4 linked regions of the Ovis aries genome follow. The main gene of each other region encodes a partner of the protein of the gene in region 4 in a complex. Links are inferred from orthologs where the notes say so. Each region holds a gene or a part of one and is shown on either strand. Other genes may lie near its edges. The genes, in order: DCP1A, ARHGEF6, PAK1 and DAB2IP.

Region 1 (5,590 bases), on a different chromosome or scaffold from region 4:
GAGGACATCTTCAGCTTGTTCCATTTCCTATCCTTGCTTCTGCAAACTGATTTGGTTGATGGAAAAGAAATTTAGTTATGTTGGTTTGCAAGAGTTTTCTCTCATTGGGTGATTTGATTTGTTTTTCAGTCTGCTCCATCTGGACACAAACATCTGACGGTGGAAGAATTATTTGGAACCTCTTTGTCAAAGGAACAGCCAACAGTTGTGGGTCTGGATTCAGAAGAAGTGGAGAAACTGCCAGGAGATGCCTCCCAGAAAGAGCCCAACTCATTCCTACCATTTTCGTTTGAGCCTGGAGGGGCCCCCCAGTCGGAAAACCTGGGTGTCCATCCTGCTGCCCACCCCTCAGTCCAGCCCGAAGTCACCACCCCGGTGCTAATCACTCCTGCTTCCATCACTCAGTCCAGTGAAAAGCAGGCCCCCAGCTATGCCATCCCATTGCACTCTGTGCTAAGTCCTAGTCTACCAGCAGAAGCTTCTACTGGACAGGCTCCCCCCAGCCTACCCCGAAAAACCACCATGATGCAAACAGTGAAGACTACACCTAGGCAGAGGTCTCCACTCCTGAGTCAGCCTGTCCCCGAGCTGAGCCACGCCAGCCTGACTGCCAGCCAGAGCCCATTCAGGGCCCCGCTGAGCGTGACAAACACAACCAGTCCATCTCTCCCAAGTGTTGATCTTCTCCAGAAACTCAGGTTGACCCCGCAGCATGACCAAATACAGACACAGTCACTTGGGAAAGGTGCAGCAGCACCCAGCTTTTCTCCAGCAGCCGGCCAGCTGGCCACCCCTGAGAGCTTCATAGAGCCTTCCCCTAAAGCAACAGCAGCAAGAGCCTCAGCCTCCCTGAGCAACATGGTGCTTGCTCCCCTTCAGGTACTGGCAGGAGATTGGGTGGCTGTAACCTAGTGGGATGAAACTGGATTTTGATTGAGAGGAGACAGAGTTGTTTAAAGAGACAACCGTTGAGTGTGTAAGGGGCTAGAAGAAAGGAGAGGTGAGAAGCCCTGCAGTGATCAACCAAACCATCGGTAACTGGTGGTGTAACTCAGTTCCACTTCCCAAAATAATTTCAGCTGATAAAAGCTGAGAAATTGTATTTTCCTTCCTGGGTGTGCATTTTAGCGTTTTTTTGTTTGTTTATTTTTGCCTGACACGTCTAGGAGTCCTTATTTGACTCAAGACCATGGATCCAGATTATCCCAAGCTTTGTTCCATCCCCTGCTCCCTCAGTACTCTGACTGAGTGCCTGCCTTGTGCCAGGTGCATTAGGGGTGCCATAAGAGCGTCCCACATCTGGAGGTCTGAGGTCAAAGAAAGCTTCCTCGGGAAACTGGCCATCAGCTGAGATCTGAAGACTCAGTAGAAATTAGCCAGACCTAGAGGTAGGAAGTGTGTGTGAAGGCAAGGAAAGTAGCAGGTGCAGAAGCCTAGACACGAGAGGGCATTTGCTGAGCTGTGGTGTGACTGGATCTATGTGTAAAGAAACATGGGGGAGCAGGTATTGGTGATGAGTAAAATTTTGTAAATAGTATCAAGGAGTTAGAGGTTTGTTCTGAGGACCCTGGAGAGTCTTTTAAGTGTATGAGCCAAGGGTGGCACGCTGGGAAAGGGGATGACAGAAGGACGACAACCCATCAGAACGGAGGTCGGGGCAGTCACCCAGGCTTGAGCGGGTGGGGGCCTGTACTGGGCAGTGTGGACATGTGGATTTATTAAGAAGGAGGATGAGCGGGACTTGGTGGGGTTTGGATATCGGGGTGAAGAAGAGGTTTGTCCCTCAGTAACTTAAAACGTTGGTGAGTTTACAAATGAGGAAATCAGGTCACAGTTGAAGTGACTTGTGCAAGATCACAGAACTGAAAGGGGGTAGAGCCTTTCAAGGTTTTAGTCTCATGCCCTTTAATCATTACAATCCCCAGCTCTTGAACATTTTACCAAATAATATTAATACTGGCTCTTCTGTATAATATTATCTCTTAGTTAATGGAATGCTTTGTTCCATTCCGTTAAAATTCTGTACAGAAAAAGAAACCTGGTGTCCTGGTTACATGATTAAATTGTCATATTTGCCGTTTCTGTCTGCAGTATAAGGAGCAGCGAGAATGTTCTGTTTGATAAAACATCCCTGAAATGTGTCTGCTGCCACTATTCCTGTTGTTCTAGAAATACAGCCTGCAGTCCTGAATACCGCCCCTCTAGATTTGGCCTCTGGGACAGCACCCTGCTCTCCAGCATGCCTCTGGCAGAGGAAGCTTACAAACATGTTCTTTCTCGTTTATGTGCCATATCGAATTTCAGGACCTGGGACCGCACTGAGTCCTAATGTATTTGCTCTGCTACAGGAGCTTCTGTGTCTCCCAGGGAATAGGTATAGCATTTATCTGGAAGTGTGTGGCTCTGTGTGAGACTGTTTAGTGCCACCTGTCAGAGTGTGAACCACCCTATCAGGAGGCTTCATGCTATCAGGATCTTGCGTCTCTACAGTCTCAACAGCAAAATATGCTTGGTCTGTCCCCACTCTTATAAGAGACCCAGGTTTCAGCTTTTTCTGTAGAGACGTTTTCAAGGCTTTGCACACCCCTTTTCTCCAGTGGAACTGAAGAGGGTTGGGGGCTGTCCTGAAGCTCCTATCCTGCATTGTGACAAATTCTGGTCAGCCACTTCCCTCAGGAATCTAGGAACCAAGTCATGTTTGAACTCCTCCTTACAGCTGCTAACCTAGATTTTTACCCCAGTAACTAAGAAATCTTTAATGAAAAGTTGCTACATCTGTTCATCTTTTCTGTTTAAACGTTGCAGTCTATGCAGCAAAACCAGGATCCTGAAGTTTTTGCCCAGCCTAAGGTGTTATCCAGTGCCATCCCGGTAAGGATCCCCTTTTTCTAAAGAGCATAGTATGTCTTAAGTTCTTCTGCTGAGTGTAAAGTGAAACATTTCAGCTTTCAAACTTAGGCCCCTCTTACATGTCCCCTCCAACTCCCGCAGGCAGAGCTCATTGCTGTGGCCTCTGCAGTCCTCAAGTCATCCGTCCTCAGTGATGTCTTCCTTGAATGTGTGTATGGGAGGGCAAGGTCGGCCACGGCAGGGGTGCTCACTCACTCCCTCTGTGTTGTGAACAGGCGACTGCTGAGAGCAAGTCAGCCCCATCCCTATGGATAGGAGACAGTCTTTGCCCTGGAAGAACTATGGTGTCCCAGTAAACAAGGCAGTGTCACCACCCTGCTCGATGGCTTCCCATTGCCCTGTTGACAGAACCTCCCAGGCCTGCGTGCTCTGTGCCTTGCTTCTTCTCCCCTGCCTCATTTTTTACAACTTGTCCTCATCCTCCATTCCCTACCAGCTTTGACAGGCACACTCATCTTTTTCAGTTCCTAAACTTTTAGGTTCCTTTTGCCTTTGAGCCTTAACACCTCTCCTGAAGCCTAAGAGTTTAAACAAAAGCCACCTTCTGACTGGTCTTAGCAGGTCTTCTTTGTAGCTTGTCCTGCTGCGTGGTGATCGGCTTACCACTTCTTGGTGATCTCTCAGCCCGGTGTTGCACCAAAAATAACCACAGATGGCTCAGAACCCAGAAACTGCACTCTCAAAGCTACGGACAGCTTTGGTTCTTTATAAATGAGGAAGGTGACAGATAGGAGGGAAAAAATACATAGTTTTCTTGTTGAGTGTATCAAAATATGAGAATTAGTAAAAAAAAAAAAAGGGCTTCCCTCAAAGCTCAGTTGGTAAAGAATCCGCCTACAATGCGGGAGACCTGGGTTTGATCCCTGGGTTGGAAAGATCCCCTGGAGAAGCGAAAGGCTACCCACTCCAGTATTCTGGCCTGGAGAATTCCATGGACTATACAAGTCCGTGGAGTCTAAAAGAGTCGGACATGACTGAGCAACTTTCACTTTCAAAAAAAAATATTATTACTCTTTTGTGTATTCTGCTGGTTAGCCATTGTTAGCCCAGAAGTATCTCTAAATGAAAGAAGGAGGTAAATGTTAGTTTTATGTTTTTAAAATTGTGTCTTTGATGACTGTGGTGGCATAATAAATACATTGAACACAACTAAAGAAACTAATGCTTCAAATAATTTCATATAACTGATGCTTCATATAATTCTTTTTATTGAATTAAAATTTATGTATAATGCAGATTTCTTGAATTGAGTTTTAATACACATATATCTCTTGGGCAGTGAGAAGTTATGTAACACTTCCATCACCTCAGATAGTTCCTTCACACCCTCCTCCAAGCATTTCTGTGTCCCTCATGGGAAAACTTGACATATTCAACTTATCTCAGGACTGTTCTTACTGTGCCTTATCAGATTCCCTTTCTGTAGTGATGGGGCTTGGCGTCTCATAACAGCCCGGGGCCACCCTTATCATGTAAATGGGCTCCTCATCCTTCAGTGAACAAGCTTCCTAACCAGACATTGCGTGCTTAGATGCCGCTTCTGGCCCTTTATCTGAACTCTGAATAGTCAGCATCGGGCTCTGCTTTCCTGTCTCCTGCTGCTTGTGCTTGTTATCAGCGTCCCCTCCTCTGGGCCTGGCTGCTGGCTCCCACACTCTTTGTTGCAAAATGGCCATTGTTCCCCTGCAGGTGGCAGGCCCCCCTCTGGTTCCGGCAACAACCTCGGCAGCGCCCTCAGTCCTGCTGTCCCCCAGTGTTTTCCAGCAGACAGTTACAAGGTCCTCAGACCTTGAGAGGAAAGCCAGCTCCCCTTCTCCTCTCACTGTTGGGACGACAGAAAATCAGAGAAAGCCTTCCATTATCCTCAGCAAGTCTCAGCTCCAGGATACATTAATACATCTAATCAAGGTATGTAAAATATTGGTTTAGTCTTTGGATTTTCATTCTGTAAAAAAATAATTATATGATTCTTTAAAAAGTCAATTCATAAAGAAAATCCAAGGCCAGCTAGGACCAGTGTTTCTCTCTCCCTATGGGAAAATTCTCAAAGTGGAAAAATAGATCTGTGTGAATTTCAAAATATTCCTCATGATTGTCTCTGGGTGGTGGGATTCTTGGCATAATTAGTTGTACAGAGCATGTATATAACTTCTTCCTAAGCTGTTACCATGACAGCTCTAAGGAGGTAACCGTGACCTGACCATCTCTTCCAGAATGATCCCAGCTTCCTCAGCACACTTCATGAAGCCTACTTACAGGTTCTGACCAAGAACAGAGACAGCCACAACCTATGACTAGAGCAGAGTAATCCTGAAGGCAGGATGTCGACCTCAGAAGCAAGCAGGCCTCATCATGGAAACTTCTAAACGGAACATTGAGCTTTGAGAATTCTAAAACTGAGCCTATGAGAAAGAGACTCGTTGCTTAAGAATGTTTTCCAAGTGACGTTCTCAGTGATAATGGAGGTTTCACTGTGAAGCATCACCAGCAGACCTTTGTTTTGGGGGGGAAAAAAAAGACCATTGTGTTCAGTTGTGTGGGTGTGGGTGTTTTCATCAGCTCTAAACAAGTTTGTGAAATAAGGAATCTGATTTTCAGCTCACTTTCGTATTCAAGGTCTTAGGGAAAAGAGGTCACCAGCCCTGCGGCAGTCAGCCCAGCCCATACCCCCATTCCCCTC
Region 2 (6,387 bases), on a different chromosome or scaffold from region 4:
GCCAAAAATATTTTAAGTATGGGTGCTTAATGGAATAAGCATTAGTTATCAGAAAAATCCACTTATGTGAAAAGACTCATTCTCCAACAATGCCAGACCCAGGAGGTGTTTCTGTATCACCTAGTATTCTTAGAACCATATAGAAACTCAATATACCTTCTGACAGCTTCAGAGTGCATAAATCTTTGGCAACCTCACAATGTTTTTATTTAACAAATGAAAAGAAAATGCCATGATCTGTTCGTAGCAGACATCATTCCATAAGGGATATAGAGTAGGTTGCACCTGCCTTAAAAGCCATACACACCATGCGCCCAGGTACACACACAGAAAGATAAAGAGAGAGAGAGGGAAGGAGCTAAAATTTGGCAATACGGAAATCTGGAATAAAATATTCTGAAACAAGCATAGCTTGATGCTATGGCTAACTTTCAGAAAAACTCTGAAGAAAGCAAAGTTTATCTGGGGAAAAGTTACTTGTACTAGTACCACTAGTAGTTAACTAACACTTGGAGAAAACTTTCTGTGTGCCATGCACTCTTCCAAGGATGTGAATTCTTTGAAACCTTATACCAATCCCATGAGACAGGTGCTGCTATTCTTCCCATTTTGCAGGTATGGAGACTGAGGCACAGAGCCATAACATGCCCAAGGTCACAAAGCTACTAGCAAGAGATAACTGAGATTTGAATCCAAGTAGTCTAATATCAGAAGGTGTGTGAAAGTGTCGCTCAGTTGTATCCAGTTCTTTGCAAGCCCACAGGCTGTAGCCCACCAGGCTCCTCTGTCCATGGGATTCTCCAGGCAAGAACACTGGAATGGGTTGCTGTCCCCTTCTCCAGGGAATCTTCCCAACCTAGGGACTGAACTCGAGTCTCCTGCATTACAGGCAGATTCTTTACTGTCTGAGCCAGTAGGGAAGAGTCCAGGCTCAAACCAGTACTAACATTTCTCCACAAGTGATACTACTAATGCATGTCTATACTTCTTACACCCCAGGTCCTGTGCTGAGTACTCTACCTACGTTACTTCATAGATCTTTGGAATTTCAAGCTCTTAGCTCTAAATTATTATGCAGTATCTCATTTGATCCTTAAAACAGCCCCATGAGGTAGTTATTATTGTGTCCATTTTACAGATTAAAACACTAAGGTACAGAGACATTAAATAATGTGACATACAAGCAAAAGCGTCACCTCCTTTTCAGCAACACCCCCTATACTTACTGCAAGGATCCACATAACATAAAGGAATACAGTGTAACTTAATATACAATTTCTACCTCAGGGCCAAGTTCTTTCATGGCCTCTGTTCTAAAGTGTTAGTAGGGAAAAGTGGTTATAATCTTTCCACCCTTCCCAACTCAAAAGGATTACAGTAACCCTCTGCAGCATCCAGTGGCCCACTTTGGGCTCCACTTAGTAGGGACGCATACCATACAACCTCTGGCACCAAAAGCCTGCTTTCAGAGCTTGGGAGCTGTGGTTTTTTTTTTTTTTAATTTATTTTTAATTGGAGGATAATTGCTTTACAATATTGTGTTGGTTTCTGCCATACTTCAACATGAATCATACATATGTCCCCACCCTCTCAAATCTCCCTTCGACCTCCCACCCCATCCCACCCCTCTAAGTTGTCACAGAGCCCTGGTTTGAATTCCTTGAGTCATACAACAAATTTTGGGAGCTGTTTCTAAATGGTACCATATTTTGTCTTTTTTTAATTGATTTACAATGCTGTGTTAATTTCTGCTGTACAGCCAAATGATTCAGTTACACATATACAGACATTCTTTTTCTTAATATTCTTTTCCATTATGGTTTATCATAGGATATTGAATATGGTTCTCTGTGCTATACAGTAAGATAAAAGTTACCATATTTTGAATTTTGATTTTGTTTTGCTTTGGAATTGGTTTCCGGAAAAAAAATAAACAAACAAACAAACTAGCAAACCATGACTGGGGACCATCGATCTTAACCATGGTTTCCATAAAAATGCTTCCTCGGTTTAACAGTAAAAATAAGCCTTTTACCACGACACCATATTCATTAGCAGAGTGAAAAATGACCACAAGGAAGGCAACCTGGGTGGGCTTACCTCCACTTGAAGGGCTGCGCATCCTTTCAGGAAGTCGTTGATGTTGTTGGTGCAGTCAGCTTCAGTTTGGGGCTCCAGACAGTACTAAAGAAACACAGTCAAATATCACTTGGAGACTGTCATCCCAAGTGGGACACATCATTGCATCATTCGCTGATAAGTAGATAAAGTAGGCTTTTTAAGGTGGGGCCAACATTACTGTCAATCCAGGAAGAGAAATTAACCACTGAAGGAAGTGATGCAAAAATCTAAACGGTTGGTCTTGTTCCAAATGTCACCAAATCCTTAGCCCCAAGTCATCTCCACTTATAAACTTTCTCATGCAAAGCATGGTGATAGCAAATTAGAGAGACCCTGCAAGTTTTTTTCATCCTGGTTCCTGCTTTCAACCTATCATTTCCCTCCATCCTCCTCATGATAATGTATTAAAATTGTATTTCCCTCTTCGCTGTTCTTTACATTTGATCACATTTCTCGACATTTTCCATTTTATCACTGTTTTCCAAGTTTGAGAAATTATAAGTAAATCGGTATGTTCAATAAAAACACTGCCTCAAGGAGGGAAATGAACTGTACTCAGTGTCTCATTCCCTGCTGACCTTAAGAAAATAATTTATGGCTCCACTTTTAAACTTGATTAAGGTGCCCATTTTAAAAATTTTTCTTACTGGTGATCATGGGTTTCCAACCTTCACAATTTTGGATTTTTAAAAATGAGTAAGGTTAGTTTCACTTTGAACACGTGTTGCATTCAAAACATATATTTGGTTTCTATTGTTTTAACAAACCCATTGTGACATTTTGGATTATTTCTCCTGATTGCTAAATAGCCTCTCTTTCAATGGATACTTTATTTCTTTGAGAAGTAAATCCACAGCAAATTTAGTCATACCATCAATAAGCACCCTGAATATCTGTTACAAATCATCCCATTACTCCACAGACTCACATGAACCTCAGGTTCAAAACATGTCCTCGGTGCACAGGGAGGCACAACACGCGTCTCTGTGGCAGAGCCAGCTCGTGACAGGGGTGTTCTCCTTGTCCCCTGGTACCAGTGGTGTCAAAGGTTTTTACTGTACTAACCTCTAGTGGCCAATCACTAAAGGAAAACCTTTCATTTTCTGACTTTTTCCGACTATGAAAACAGTAAGAAAGAACGGTTAAATCTCAAAAAGAGATGAAAGCAGGAGTGTCCCATGACCCAGGCAACCGAAAATCTCCAGAGTGACATTACCGCTGCTCTCTGGTGGTGAGCAACCCTAAAGATACTGCAAATTTCCCTTACCTTTTCTACAGAGCCAGGCCTTAATCTGTTGATCAGTTTGCACAGCACTACCCCATTTTTCAAAGAGGACTTCAAGAACTCCTCCGGATCACAGATGGTCTTTTTGGGGGAATCTAATACTCCCAAGGATATGAGCCAGGTCACGACGCGCTCTTCTGGATTCATTACTGCAGACTGAACGCTCCCGAGCACCTCTCTGGGGCAGCTGCAAGGACTAAGCCACATCCGCGATTGCATCTGCTGTTGTCTTCCTTTTTATGAGTTCTCTTCTCGTGCTTGCAGAGCAAAGCTCTAAAACAACGTTCCTTAGACAACGGTGGAAGCCACTCCAATTCTGGGATTTGAAAACCACAGAGCTCACACTCAAAGATGTAGAAATAGAATGAATGAGGGGAAAATCCTGGATAACACTGGGATTCTTTTTCAAAAGCTGCAAAACAAATTCATTAGGATTTTTTTTAAAAAAAAAAGAAGAAATACATACACACACTCACACCCCTCCCCCCCCCCAAAAAAAAAAAACCAACAGTGCAAGAAGCTGTAAGGGAAGGAAGTGAGCAGGATGCTGGGGAGGGAGGAAAGAGAAGGCAGTGAGTGCTCTGGGAAAACAGAGGCGAGCCAGCACTTCAGGGGACCTTGGAAATGAGATACTCATGGGCCAGTCTGGGAAAATGCTGTCAATAAATAGTCTAGCCCCAGTGAAAATCTGGCTTCTGTCAAGAGGAAGATGCCAACTGGCTCTTAGGTCAGACAGATCTGAGCCTCATGGGGAGCTGTGCTGGCACAACAGGGCTCAGAGAAGGTAAGCTGGGAAAATTCTTCCAAGAAATGGCCGGATGTCCTCTTACTGTCTCACCGAGATAATGTGTCATGATCATTCCTCTGCAAAACACGTTGAATTGCACGGTGACAACGTGCCAAGCAGATGAAGACTGTGCCTGCTGTCAGCCATCACTCTGTGTAAGCACAAACTAGAAGAATGGCATTTTACTTTGCAGCCAAAAAGCTATGTTTAGGGAAATAGACTAAGGATAACATCTGACATCCTGTTTACTTGCATTCTTGAGCGATTCTTTTTCTGGACCTGGTTCCACTACACAATCCAGCTGCAGTGCCCTTAGCAAAGGCTCAGACACAGTCATATCGGCGAGTAAAAAGCACTTGGAAACAGAATTTTTGAGAACAAAAGAACACTTGTCCTCTGTCTATACTACAGTCTGAAGGTTGATGTTTCCCCAACAAGAAACACTTTGCCTTAAAAATATTGCTCTGGAAAAAAACTGGTCTATAACAAGAGATCTACACTATTCTTAAAACATCTTCATAACCAGTTATAATAGCCACATGATTAGGAAATTTATGATAAGGCCAACAGTATAGCCTGATCTGGGCAAATGCATGGTACTCCCTACCCTCTCCTGATGCATGGGATCATGCTAACTTTCAGAATCTTTTCAATACAGTGACAGGCATCTACTACCAAATAATCAGCTTAGATAATCCTGCTACATGTTTGGGGTACTTTCCTGGTAGTCCAGGGCCTAAGACTCCACACTCCTTATGCAGGGGGCCCAGGTTCCATCCCTGATCAGGGAACTAGATCCCATATGCCATAGTGAAGATCCCACATACTGCAACTAATACCAGGTGCAACCAAATAAAAATTTGTTTAAAAAATCTGGCTACATTCTTTCAAAGCTTCCCCTTTTTACCTTGTCATAACAGTTATCCAGACTTGACTATTGTCATTTGTTGATCTGTCTCCTCCACCAGAATGTAGCCTCCACTAAGGGAGGGGTCTTGTCTGCCTTGATGAACACTGTCCCCAGCAGAGTGCCTGGTACACAGCAGACATTTTGACTTAAAACCAACATGTTTTCCTTGCTAATGATTTTTGTACTTTTAGTGAGATATAACTGACATAATGAATCGCATATGGTTAAGATGTATGATTTAATAGATTTTGACATATGGTATACATCCCATGATACAATCATATACACACAATTCAAAAAACTTTTCTGTCATCCCCAAAAAGTGTTATTGTGCCCTTTCAACCCTATCTTTCCTCCCTTCCCTTAAAATCCCAGACAATGAACAACCTTTTTCAATCCTATAGATTAGTTTGCATTTTCTAGAATCTTGTATAAATGGAATCACACAATATGGAACTTTCTGTTGTCTGGTTTCTTGCAGTTAACATCATCCCTTTGAGTTTCATTCATGTTGTTGTATCTATCAATAGTTCTATAAGAAAGATTTGACCTCCAGATATTCAGTTTGATATAATTATATTTATGAGCAAAATAAGTATAGTCAATCAAAAGTTTTCATTGACTTTTGATCCATGACCAAATCTATGTAATGGAAATAAAACCAAAATCCATGTGTTGATCAATGAAATTCTTAAATGTAACCTGCTTAAATATACTTTGATATCTCATTTGACCAGTTTTCTCACAAATGCTCATCAGAATTGTATCCTACAGACAAACAAATCCGGCAGTATTATTGACGTATCACTTACATTTTTTGTTGAAGAATAAAGCCTGGGTAATTTCAGGAATCCAGCCTCGTTCAAAATAGGCTTGAGCCCACTGGGGTTATTGGGGTGAAAATCTGCCTCATTTTAGACATTGGCTATCGCAAGCGACTGTAAGCAATAGAGTAAAATCAGAAAGGCAAGACCATCTCAAAGCAGAAAAACACTTCTACTAGTATAAAGATTGGAAGTTAGGGTTGGTATGGGCAAATGTCAAGAAAGCAAGGCATTCCAGGACAGTAGCAACCATACAGGTGAAATGACTAGCCATGGAACCCAAGGCAGTGAAAAGAAGTTAAGGACCTGGGGGAACAGAGTGGAAGGCTGAAAGACAGGAGATCACAGCAGCACAAAGCACAGGCTTTACGTAAGAGTATGAAAAAATAAAACACTATGCAAAAGTTACCTTGTTAAGCTTGCAAGAAGAAAATGGCAGAAGTAAAGGTGGATACATGTA
Region 3 (6,256 bases), on a different chromosome or scaffold from region 4:
AGCTCCAGTACTTTGGCCACCTCATGCGAAGAGTTGACTCATTGGAAAAGACTCTGATGCTGGGAGGGATTGAGGGCAGGAGGAGAAGGGGACGACCGAGGATGAGATGGGTGGATGGCATCACGGACTCGATGGACGTGAGTCTGAGTGAACTCCGGGAGATGGTGATGGACAGGGAGGCCTGGCGTGCTGCGATTCATGGGGTTGCAAATAGTCGGACACGACTGAGCGACTGAACTGAACTGAACTGATTATTCTGCCCACCATTGAGACTATCCAAAAATAGTTTAGAATTAATTTACTGGGTTATGATCTTGGGTTCAGTTACTTAACCCCTCTGCACCTCGGTTTCCTCACCAATAAAATGGGGGGGTGGAGGATAACAGTAGACTATCTCAGAGGGTTGTTAGAGGTTTAAAAGAGATGGTGCTTAGAACAGTTACCTGGCACATGGTAAGTACTATGTGATCATTTATTAAGTACATTTTCATAACATATTATGTGTCAGGCATATTCTAGATACTGGGGATATGGATAGTATGGGTAGGAATATAACTCGCTCTAAAGGAGCTCAGGGAGTCACATACACAAATACAGTTACTACACTGTCTGTTACATGCCATAAACGGCATGAAGTACTATAAGATGACAGCATTGTGAAGGCTCAGAGAAACTTAAGAAATATTAATTGAAAGAACAAAGGAACAGGACGTTTGAACTGGGCTTTGTAGAATGAATAGGCTTTGGCCAGTGAGATAAAAGAGAAGGGCTATAGACATGAAGAAATGTAAGTTCAAAGAACATTAAGTAGCATTTCAGTGTGGCTGGAACAAAGTATATACCATGTGAGATGAAGCTAGACAAGCTGGTGTAAGCACCAAGGTTGTACAGTGCTAAATTAAGGAGTTTAGATTTTATCCTGAAAGCAACAAAACCCTTTCAGAGTATTTAAACAGGGGAAGGCATCAGATTTGTGTTTTTAAAAGGACACTCTGGTTTGGGAGAGAATGGATACATGTATACATATGGGTGAGTCCCTTTGCTGTTCACCTGTAAGTATCACAACACTGTTAATTTGCTATACCCCAAGACAAAAAAAAAAAAAAAAGAAAAAAAGAAAAAAAAAAGAATAATCTGGTCATTAAGAATGGATTGAATCTGGAGACTCTGAAAGCTGCTCCAGTTGTCTAGGTGATGGTGATGAGTGAACAGAAGGGCAAGAACTTGAGAAATATGTAGGATACTCTACAAAGACGGTGACCAATCTGATGAGTGCTCAGCGAGGAAGAATGGGGGCTAAGTTCAGGTTTCTGGGTCAGTGAACTGCTGAATGACGGTCCATTCTCTATGATCAAGAAGTAATGTGAGTCACAATTTTGAGGGGAAATGGTGGTAGGAATAGCCAGCATTCCAAACGACTTAATACGTTTTAAACTGCACTTAACTATTATTACAGAAAGGATACAGGTACTACTTACAGAGAAACTATGGCTTAGAAATGTTAAAGTCGTATCACTAACATTTGTATAGCTGAAATTTGAAACAAAGCAATCTGATTCCAAACCCTTCCTCACTAATGTTGAACGTTTCAGTTTTGGTCGTATGGAATCTGACTTACAGAGCGGGTATGCAAACACTACACTGGAAAACGGAGGAGGCACTGGGAAACAGAATCCGAGCTCAGGCAAAAGGTTTGCGTTGAATGTAGCCTCCTTTATAGGGAAAAACTAGGAAAAGAAGCTCATTCTTTTTCTGTCAGTAACAATTGAAACCTCCATTACCATTTCTTTGCCTCCTTCCCACCGCGCCCCTCCCCCGCCCCAAATCCAGTATAATAAACGTCTGGCTCTGAGGTCATAGGAGATGGGGAAGTTTCCAAATTCAGCGCTTGGCATCGAGCTAGCGGATGCGGAGAGGACCATAAGATAGGGGGTGAGCCGTATTCTTTGACCATGACTATACCACTAACAACCCTGAAACCAGCCCAAAGCCTTCTGCCTCGAAGGAGCCCGAAGCAGTAGACCTTGCGCAGTCAGAGGAGAGAGGCGAGCGCAATGACGTCACGGGCAGCCGGGTGCCTTCCCCAGTCTCTGGCGTCATGCGCCGATGACGTCATTCCAGGAGTGGCCCTTCCCCGCCCCCACGCCTGGCTGGGCCTCGCTCACGTGGGTCCGTCCTGTCCTCCCCGCCCCCTCCCACCTGCCGGAGGTGGGGCGGGCCGGGGCTCCGCCGGCGCCTGTGCCTCAAGGGGAGGGGCGGGGGCCGGTGGGCGAGGCGGTCCGCCCGGCCAGCGGCGTACAATAGCTCGGCTGAGGTGGGGGAGGCGGCTCGGCGGCCGCTGCAGCTGGAGTCCAAGGTGTGGGCAGCACCGTAGACGGCCCCTCACGGTTTCGCCCCCACACCCCTTTCCCTCTCTGCTCGTCTGTAGCGTCTTCCTCATCGACTCTGCCGTCCTGCCCCAGACGCTTTTTTCCCTCAGACTTTTTACCCCCTCTTTCACGGAGCCCCGCGCTCTCGAGAGCCCCTCAAAGAGCTCTCTGTCTCTCCACCTCCTCCCCCAGAGGCCACCCGAGCTCCTCATATCTCCGAGCAAGCGCCCCCCGCAGCCGCGTCGCCTAGGTCCCTCCGCCTCCCCGACTCCAGCCACGGTCGCTGACCCCCTCCCCCCCACCCTCGCCCTGTCCTGAGGGGACTTCCCGGCACGAGCGGGTCGGGAGGCGCCGGGCGAGCGGCGGCGGCGGCGGCGGGCGGGAGAAAGTGAAGCGGCCCCTTGCGCACACTCGAGCGCTCACTCCGCGGCTCGGCCGCGGACACCGGGGTGGAGAAGGAGGAGGAGCCGAGTCGAGCCGAACAAGCGCGGACGGTGAGAGCCGGCCTCCCGCCCTGTACCCCTGGCGTCGCGGGCTGCCGGGCTGCGGCGCCGGGCTGGGGGAGGCGCGGGGCGGGGGTTCCGGGACCCATTCATTCCCCGCCGCGGCCGGGCGGATGCGGGCGCCAGGTGAGGGAAGGCGGGGGCGTCTCTTTCGAGGCTGGCCATTTCTGTCGGACCAACAAAGGCCCCCGGTGTAGTAACCCGCGTGGCCGCGGGTCTCTGACGCCTGGGGACCCAGAGAGCCAGGGCAAGTCAGCGGAGGGGAGACCTCGCAGGTCCGGCTCCGGGAGCGACTGCCTCCTGAACTTTGTGGTCCTCGGATCCTAACTCTGGACCGCGCAGGGGGACCTAGCAAGGCGGCGACAGGTTCATTGTGCACAAGAAAAGTCACCTTTGTCCTGGCCGTGGGGATCACCTATAGAGTTGAACTCCTTGAAAAATACGAGTGGACAGTGCTTGACTTATGCCGCCCCTCCCCCACACCGGCAATACTCTAAACCTGTGGCGTTAAAACACGGGGAGACGAGATTTGGAGTTATTTTATGTTTCTTATTCCACTTCAAAAGACGTGATTATTATAACCTTTACTGTCTTGAATATTTTCACAGCAAACATTGCTGGGAGTGTTTTGGAAGAATACTTGAGAAGTTTTGCGTGTTGAGAGCAAAGTGCTTTTTGTTTGTTTAGCCCTTTGGATAACTGTCTTGCGCTTTTCCTCCCAGGACTGTGAAAGGTGATGAGAAGGGTTAGTAGTTTGGTTACCAATAAAAATTTGAAGTCACTAGTCTAACCTTTAAGAGTTGTTCCTAGAAAAATCTTTAATCTTGCCTACTGTGTCTTTGTGCCCTGTCTAAACTTTGTCAGGGGAAAAGAGGAGTCGACAGTACACAAATACCTCCTTAGTCTTACCTCATGACTTCTACTTCCTGTGTGACCTTGAGCAGGTCACTTCCAGTTTTAAAGGCCCGGGAGTTTGCTTGTTTGCTTTTGTGCTACTTAGTTTTCAAGACTTTACTGAAGCACCCCCGCCCCACCCCCCCAACTCTGGCCAAACCTCCCATGAAGTCTTTGCTGGCACCCACCCCCATAATCCTTTCAGGCAAAACTTTCTCATTGAGTCCCTCAGAGGTTTGGTAGGATTTATGATACAGCACTTGTTAACACTTTGTTGTTGTTACTATTTGGAAAATCCTGAATCAGGTGCATATGAAATCCACCTCATCTTAACTAGAAACTCTACTTCTCAAAAAAGAGGGTGAGATGTATGGAGAGAGTAACATGGAAATTTACAATACCATGTGTATTGTAACTGAACAAGGGAAACTGGAACAGAGAACTGAAACAGGGGCTCTGTGACAGTCTAGAAGGGTTGGATGGGGAGGGAGATGGAGGGAGGTCCAGGAGGGAGGGGGCATGGGTGTACCTCTGGCTGATTCTTGTTGATGTATGAGAGAAAACCACAAAATTCTGTAAAGCAATTATCCTTCAATTATAACAAAGTGGCAAAAAGAAAAAAAAGGATTTTTGAATGATAGATCATGAAACATTCCATGAAGCTTATCCAGTTAACTTATGGGTCTGTCTGGTAAATTTGCTTATTCAGTCATTCATTTACCCAATATTACTGGAGTCTGGAGAGCTACTGTGTTTCAGGTCTCCTGCTAGGGCTGTGGGGATTCAGAAACTGTTAAGACATTCCCTGTCTGTCAAAGAGCTCAAAGTCTAGTGGGTGAGGTAGGCTTGTAAACAATGAAGGCCTTCCCTAGTCTCTACAACAGCTGTACAGGGAGTAGTGTGCAATAATTGAGGCTGCTGGACCTGTTTTACAAGTCTTGTCCTGGTCAAAGTGAGTCCCAAAAGGAAGGTAGTGACCTGCCTCTCTTCTGTGAGATAGCACTTGACAAAGAGCTTTTTTGAACGTATATTCAATTCAGTATACATTTACTAAGCACATGGTATGAAGCCCTGTGTTAAATTTGGAGGAAGGACTGCTTTCTAAAAGGAGGTGGTTGTTCAGTCACTAATGTGTCTGACTCTTCGCAACTCCCAAGGACTGCAGCAAGCTAGGCTAGGTTCCTCTGTTCTCTACTGTATCCCAGAGTTGGCTCAAATTCATGTCCATTGAGTCAGTGATGCTATCTAACCATCTCATCCTCTGTGGTCCCCTTCTCTTTTTGCCTTCAGTTATTTTCAGCATCAAGGTCTTTTCCAGTGAGTTGGCTCTTCACATCAGGTAGTCCAAGTGTTTCTAAAAGGAAGGCACTATATATCCAGCCCCACTCCTGACTAGTCATTGCCTAAAGATAAAATTTTAAACTTTTTGATACGAATAAGAAGCTCTCAGAAATTAGAGTACTGCCTGCCTTTGCAGCCTCACTTTCTACAACTTCCTTGCCACCCTCTTCTCATCTCTGCTTTTGCATGTGCTGTTCTGTCTAAAATGCCATCCTGCACCTGCCTATGGAGAAGCACTTATACTTCTGGGAGAAAAATGAAAGTGTCCCTTAGTTTTTCCTCCTATTACCTCCGTATAATGAGTTGCTTTTCTGTTCCCGGGCTTTTATAGAGACCACTCTTATAGATCTCTATAGCACTTTGTTGCAAATTTTTTTGACTTTATCACATTGTTGCAAATATTAACCTGTGAATTTTTTGAGGGCAAGATCTCTTTAGTCTTAGTGCCTTGCAAAGTTTCTGGCACTGAATAAGAGTTTGAAATGAATGTATGAGTGAAGAAAGCAAATCAAGGCCCTTGAGTTTGAGATTACCTAATTCTTTGGGTTAGAATAATTTTAGCTCCAAGTGTAGTCCCTGTACCAGGATCATCAATAGAATCTGAGAATTTGTTGGACTTGCAAATTACTTGTCCCATTCCAGACATACAGATGAAAAACTCTGGGGTTGGGAACCCCAGATATTTAACAATCCTCCACGTGATTGTGATACTCGCTAAAGTTTGAGAACCACTGTGTTAAATGATCTGCCTTTAATAAGACCATTACCTTGCCACCTCCCTCCCTGCTTCCTTTCTCCCTGCCTCCTCTTTCTTCCATAGCACAAAGTGCCTGACCTTCCATTCCATTTCCTTCCATTCTGTTCCATTCCATCCCATCTGTTCCATTCTGTTCAGTTTCATTCCATTCCATCCTATTCTATTCCATTCCATTTCATATCATCTGTTTTTCTCACTTAACTGAAAGCTTCCTGAAAGCAGAGAATTTTGTTTTATTTACTTCTGTAATCCCAGGGGCTAAACTAGTGACTGCATATAGCAGCCATTCAAATATTTGTTGAATGAATAATATAAAAATGATTTAACTCTATTTACTGCCAGCTGCTACATTGGGGTTTATTGAAGAACAGTTTTCAGTAGGAAGAGGAACC
Region 4 (5,590 bases):
GAGCTGTGAGCCAGGGTGGCTGCGGGGGTAAGCCGACTGTCTCTGGTGACACGATAAAGAAGGGCCACAAAGGGGAGCCAGACAAAGGCCTTCCAGCAGGACAGGAAAGAACGCGACCAAAGAGAGAAGCAACCTACGGCCAGAGGTGGGACGGGGGAACGGGGCCAGGAGAGCCACTCAGGTGGGGAAGGGAACGTAGGTCCTGAGCTGGAGCAGGGACCAAGGGAAAAACCTGGGCAGCTCCTCCAGTGTGAAAATAAAGCCACTCCTGGGGGCTGGTAGCATGGTCCCCTGGACAGTCACACAGCCATCTCTGATGAGGCTGTACTAGCTCAGTGGCCACCATTCACACATGCCGGGATGTTCATCTTGCATGGAATGGCCCGGGACTGACTGTGGCCCAGACTGCAGTCCTGAAAAGCAGTCTGCCCTGCACACTTCTGCTCCTCTCTGGGGCCGCCAGGGGCCCACAGAACTCGGTCCTAATAAAGCCCAGTCCTCCTCCTCGGTTCTCTACGGTCCCAGCAGGAGGCCCACCCAGTGTCCAGGCCCCACACAGGTGCGTGCTGGGGCCACCCCAAGCCTGTAACTTGAGCACCAGCTTCCATTGCCAGGTGAGGAGTCCCAGGTGAAGCCATCCAGTCACCCAGGGGTACCTGAGCAGAGCCTTGTGCATCTGGCTTCTTGTCCAGCTGTAGCACCTACAATGGTGCCAGGCAGTACCCACTGTCCAACATGTGTACGGGACTGCCAGGTCTGAATCCTCAACAATGCACAGACCATGTCCTGCCTACACACTCTGGAACACTCCAATGTCTGAGCCCAGAAAGGACCAGTTGGACTCAGCGGGGTCAGAAGAAGGTGGGTTCCAATCCCAGGGCCCCGAATCTGAAGCTGTGTTACCTGCCCTCTCCCTGTTAAACCTCAGCTCTCTTGTTGGGAATGACAGAGGAGGGCTCCCCACCGAGCTCTCGGGATGGGATGATGCCCTCAGAGGCCAGCCCAGAGCCCAGCATACTCCAGGCACCCAGCCTACAGAAGGATGGGGCGAGAGGGAGGGATGCGGGGTGGGACCCTGGGCAGTGGAGGCCGAGAGGGCGTGGGGGCAGCACTGACCAGTAGGAGTTGATGATTTTGCAGAAGGCCAGCTCGCAGCACATCTTGAGGTTGCCCTGGTGCTCGGGGAGGTCAGCGGCCGAGCACTTGCTCGGGTCCACTTCACAGTTCTCGTCCGACTCGTACAGCGCTTTGATGAACTCTCCTGTGGCCGAGAGGGCAGGAGGGGGCGGTGAGGACCCAGTGGGCATGCCCCACCCTGACCCTCTTGCCCCCAGTCAGCCCACACCCCCTACCTAGTGCGTCCTGCAGGTACTTCTGGCCCACCAGCTTGAGGTACTCCTCGATGGCCTTGGTGGCCAGCGTGTTCTCCCGGAAGATGAGGTGCTCGTTTTCCCCACAGCGGTCCACCTCTGACATCATCAGGTCGGTCAGGAAGTCCTGTGGAGCCAGGGGAGGAGAGTGGACTTGAGCAGGCCTGGCAGGTAAGGCCCCAGGGGTCCAGACCCACGCTCCCTGGCCAGAAGCCCCTGCTCTGTGAGGCTGCTCCATCACCAGGCTGCTGGGTCTCACCTGTGGGGGCTTCTGGGGCATGAGAGCAGGGCAGCCTAATGAGGGGACACGGCGACATCTGAGCTGGACCCCGGATCAGGGAGGCAAGAGCCCCCGCATGATGGCCCGACCCGGGGGACTCAAATCTCTGCTCAGCCCTGCCCCGGCCTGGTGGGGTGACTGAAAAGAGCACCCCCATCCCAGGGCTAAAGAGGACAAACAGGCTGCCCTGCCCCCTCATACAAGCAGCTACGACCGTCCACCCATCACTGTGATGAGGTCTCCCATGCCAGACAAGGGCTTGTTCTGTGCAGCCTCACGAGGAAGGAAGACAAGGGGGAGAAGCAGGCCAGCTGCCCTGGAAGGCAGTGAGCCGGGGCTCAGACAGAGGGAGATGGACCTCGGCTCGCATGGGAAGTGGCCTGGCTACAGCACAGCTCCCGGGCAGACCCAGGAGGGAGCCTGAGCCCACGCCTTCCCTCCTGACTGCGGGGCGGCTCAGAGGAACCTGCTGCACCCCTCCAGGTGGAAACACCCCCCACCTCGGAGGCTGCGCCTCCTCACGCCCACGGCCAGGCTTGTGACCTGGGGAGAAGACAGGCAGGAGGCAGGGACCCGGGGGCAGTGGGGGCAGAGGGCAGGGGCCGGCCAGCGCAGAGGCCGGGTGGCTGGCATTGTGCCGGGGCTATTGATGCTCCAGAAATGCCTCATCCAACATGCCCAACTTCAGGGCCCTCGAAATCACAAGTGGGCCTTGAAATACAGAACCGAACTCTGGGCCCTGGAGACCTGGTTGGCCACCGGAGAAATAGGAGGGCCGGGGTGGGGGAGAGGCAGTTGGTCTCTCTGGAGACCACACAGCCTGAGGACCCTTCCTGACCACCAGTGACCTCTAGGGCCTCCTTCTCTGAACAAAGAACAACAGACGTCAGTACTGCGTGTACTGCTCTGCTCATGCCCACAGCCCTCCTGAGCTCCTGGGGTAGGTGTGAGGCCCAGGCGGGGGTGAGGAGGAGCTCTTCTTAGAGCCAGGACCTGGCTGGGGGTGGTGGTGGGGAAACAGGCACAGAACAGGAAACTGACCTGTCCAAGGCCACACAGCTACCGGGACCAAATCTGGCCTGAGTGTCTTGTTAGCAAGGGCCCATTTCTCCTACTGCACTGAGGGGTGGGGGGGGGGGGGTTGGGGGGGGGGCGGAGGGAGATGACAGGGGGCAAAGCACACCCAAGGCCCTCTCCCAGGACTCGGAGCCCTTGGCACGTGCTCCGGAGAGAGGCATCTCACCCCTTAGCTCCCCAGGGGCTCAGAGCTCAGATGCACGTCACCCCAGCAGCCTGATGTGCTGCTGGGGAGCAGCACCCCACAGAAGCTCCGCTGAGGAGCTGGAGGCCCGGTGCACAGTGAGCACCCCGATTTCTCCTGTCTCAGCTATGAGCCTGAGAGCAAAGGCCCCTTCAGATCAGACTCAGCCTCCCAGCCCAGCCCAGCCCTCGGGGGCCGCTTACTGAAAGGACAGACCTAGAGGCAGAAAGGAGGCCGCTGGAGCCCCTGCTGCCTCCCTTGGTCTCCCTCTGGTCTCCCTCCCTCTCCAGGGGAGGAGGTGGTCCAAGCACAGAGGAATGGAGTGCCCCGTGCCCATGGAGAAGTACCTCTCCTGGTCCCCCACCATGAGCCCAATGGGCAGGGGCTCTGAAGGGCCCAAAGGAGGCCAGGGCCTTCTGGATCAGGCAGAGAGAGAGAATAAGAGCCCTGACAGACTGCGCACCCTGGGCTCTGCCTGGGGGCTGAGGCCTGACCCCCAACCTGTGTCTCCCTCCAAGCCCAGGCTGAGGGCTCGGGACCTTGACCAGGGAGGGCAGTCCCTCACCCCCACCACAGGCCACAAGTCATGCGACGTCTGGAGAGCAGAGGCTCGCCCCCGGGGAAGGCACCCAAAGCCTTCTGCAGCGTGGATAGACCCCACGTTCAGCCTTTCTCCACTGCACCCCTTTTGAGGAGCTCCCTCAAGGCCCCCCCCAAGGCAGGGGGCAGGGTGGAACCATGTTCTGCTGTGCTGGGCAGGTAGGCCTGCAGAGCCTTCCAGAAGGAGCCGACCTGTCTGCAAAGAGGAGCGAGTGGGTGGGGCTGGGCGTGGCTTGGCAGGGAGGCAGGTGGAAGGCGGTGGGGAGGACAGCAGGGGCCCTCCAGCCCTGGAGCAGGGCCTGCTGGAGGGCTCGGGCAAGATTTGCTCCAGGGGGGTCCAGAGCTGGGGCGGCTGCCCTCCAAACAGACAGCTGCGACAGTGACTGTGTGTCCCGTGTGCGTGCACTGGGAGCTGGGGGGAGTCTGGGGCTCAGACAACGGCTGCACCCTGGCCGTCACCTGCTGCAATGTGTGATAACTTAACACACCAGATGTGTGTCTGGGTCACTGGGACCCATGTGCCTGCAGAGGTGGGCCTCGTGGCCTGCTCCCCTGGAGCCTCAGGGAGGGGCCGGCCCTCTCCGGCAGTGGGGAGGCCCTAAAGCCACTTCCTTGCTGCAAGCCATGTTACAGACCATGGGCTCCATACCCGCCTCTGCGATCAGCTCCAACCACGGAGGGGGTGCACAAAGCCCCCACCCTTCAGGATGCAGCTCCAGATTTAGCCAGCTCCAGACTGAGGGGGCCCACCTAGCTATGACGGGGGCCTCCAGCAGAGCTGAAATCCATGACGTGGACGCGGGGACCGGCAGGTCATCCGGTGCCTGTCCCCCAGCCTTCCACGGGGCCCGCGGGAGGCGGCGTCCCGCCTGAGGCCCGGGCACCTACCTTCACCTTGCCCGTGCTCTGCAGGATGTGCACCAAGGCTGACGCCATCTCCTCCTTGGTCTTGGCACTGAGGATGGGCTCGAGGGCAGCGCAGAGCCCCAGGTAGTGGTTGGTGATGTGCTCGGCGAACTCCTTATACATCTCCATGGGCAGGATAGTGATGGTCTGGTAGCGCGCCTTGATGCGGATCATGGGCCCGGGGCCCTTGCCGCCCTTGGGGTTGGGCGTCACCACCGGGTACCACTTCTCCACGAACTGCCGGCCGGCCACGGAGGCGGCGGGCAGGCTCACCAAGCCCAGGTAGCTGCTGCGCTCCTTCTTCTTCTTCTTGTCGGTCTCGCGGTACAGGTGGACGGTGACTGTGCGCAGGGGCGGCAGGTTGTGGAACTCGAAGTGCTCGCCCCAGAAGACGTTGTCGGTCTTGAGCTTGCCCGTGGTGCGCGCGTACAGCACGTCGTCCAGGCACAGCTCGCACAGGTACTTCTTCTTGGCCGGCAGGTCCTTGGCCTCGATCACCCACAGCTTCAGAATGTGCTCCACACGCCGGCTGTTGTCCTGCACATGCATGGGCGGGGAGAGGGGCGCAGTTACCAGGAGCCTGGCGCCTGGTCCCCTGCCAAGCCCGGAGCTGGGAAGAGTGCTCAGAGCTGGTCAGGGCCAGCTCTGGAGTCTGAAGGAAGTGGGGCCGGATCTCTGCTCTGCCTCATACACTAGCTCACTGACCTTGGGCAAGCAACCATCTATGATCATCTAAGCCTTAAGTCCCTCTGTCATGGAAGTCCACAAGCTGAGAGCAACTGAAGAGGCCAGCGCGATGCCTGGCACACGGCGGCCGTTGACTGGCTCTTGGGAAGCTTGCTTGTCCGCAGAGTCACATGGAGACAAGTACTGCTGAGGCCCTTCTCAGTGATGGCACGGTGACCAGGACTCAGCTCCAGGCCGAGTCGGCCAGAAGCAGTGGTGACAGCTGGGGAGAGGTCTGGGGGCAGTGGGGACGCTGGGCAGTGGGTGCCAGCCGGGGCCGGCAGTGCTTGCCTGGAGGAGGGGACTGGTGGCTAAGCTAGACTCGGAGGGCTGGGCAGGCATGGGCCACGGGAGGAGGGGTATAAGAGGTCCAGACAGGACACCGGCATCTAAAAGGCCAACCCTGGGTTCTCTGGCCTGGCCTCCCCAGTGTGCAGCTCAGCCTCT

The links.
Region 1: DAB2IP (region 4) and DCP1A share a complex: the UniProt entries of both Homo sapiens proteins name them as parts of the cytoplasmic complex. The link is inferred for Ovis aries from reciprocal best matches to the Homo sapiens genes DAB2IP and DCP1A.
Region 2: DAB2IP (region 4) and ARHGEF6 share a complex: the UniProt entries of both Homo sapiens proteins name them as parts of the cytoplasmic complex. The link is inferred for Ovis aries from reciprocal best matches to the Homo sapiens genes DAB2IP and ARHGEF6.
Region 3: DAB2IP (region 4) and PAK1 share a complex: the UniProt entries of both Homo sapiens proteins name them as parts of the cytoplasmic complex. The link is inferred for Ovis aries from reciprocal best matches to the Homo sapiens genes DAB2IP and PAK1.

Annotation. Positions count from the first base shown.
Region 1 is NC_056072.1:47,783,582-47,789,171, forward strand, and holds part of DCP1A (mRNA-decapping enzyme 1A), read left to right. Parts: intron 1-129; coding exon 130-879; intron 880-2,805; coding exon 2,806-2,871; intron 2,872-4,599; coding exon 4,600-4,818; intron 4,819-5,123; coding exon 5,124-5,204; 3' UTR 5,205-5,590. UniProt on the Homo sapiens protein: Necessary for the degradation of mRNAs, both in normal mRNA turnover and in nonsense-mediated mRNA decay. Removes the 7-methyl guanine cap structure from mRNA molecules, yielding a 5'-phosphorylated mRNA fragment and 7m-GDP.
Region 2 is NC_056080.1:98,427,750-98,434,136, reverse strand, and holds the start of ARHGEF6 (rho guanine nucleotide exchange factor 6), read right to left. Parts: upstream 3,565-6,387; 5' UTR 3,554-3,564; coding exon 3,389-3,553; intron 2,185-3,388; coding exon 2,101-2,184; intron 1-2,100. UniProt on the Homo sapiens protein: Acts as a RAC1 guanine nucleotide exchange factor (GEF).
Region 3 is NC_056074.1:16,104,302-16,110,557, forward strand, and holds the start of PAK1 (serine/threonine-protein kinase PAK 1), read left to right. Parts: upstream 1-2,299; 5' UTR 2,300-2,998; intron 2,999-3,480; exon of another isoform or gene 3,481-3,617; intron 3,618-6,256. UniProt on the Homo sapiens protein: Protein kinase involved in intracellular signaling pathways downstream of integrins and receptor-type kinases that plays an important role in cytoskeleton dynamics, in cell adhesion, migration, proliferation, apoptosis, mitosis, and in vesicle-mediated transport processes.
Region 4 is NC_056056.1:14,109,226-14,114,815, forward strand, and holds part of DAB2IP (disabled homolog 2-interacting protein), read right to left. Parts: intron 4,955-5,590; coding exon 4,400-4,954; intron 1,498-4,399; coding exon 1,353-1,497; intron 1,262-1,352; coding exon 1,117-1,261; intron 1-1,116. UniProt on the Homo sapiens protein: Functions as a scaffold protein implicated in the regulation of a large spectrum of both general and specialized signaling pathways.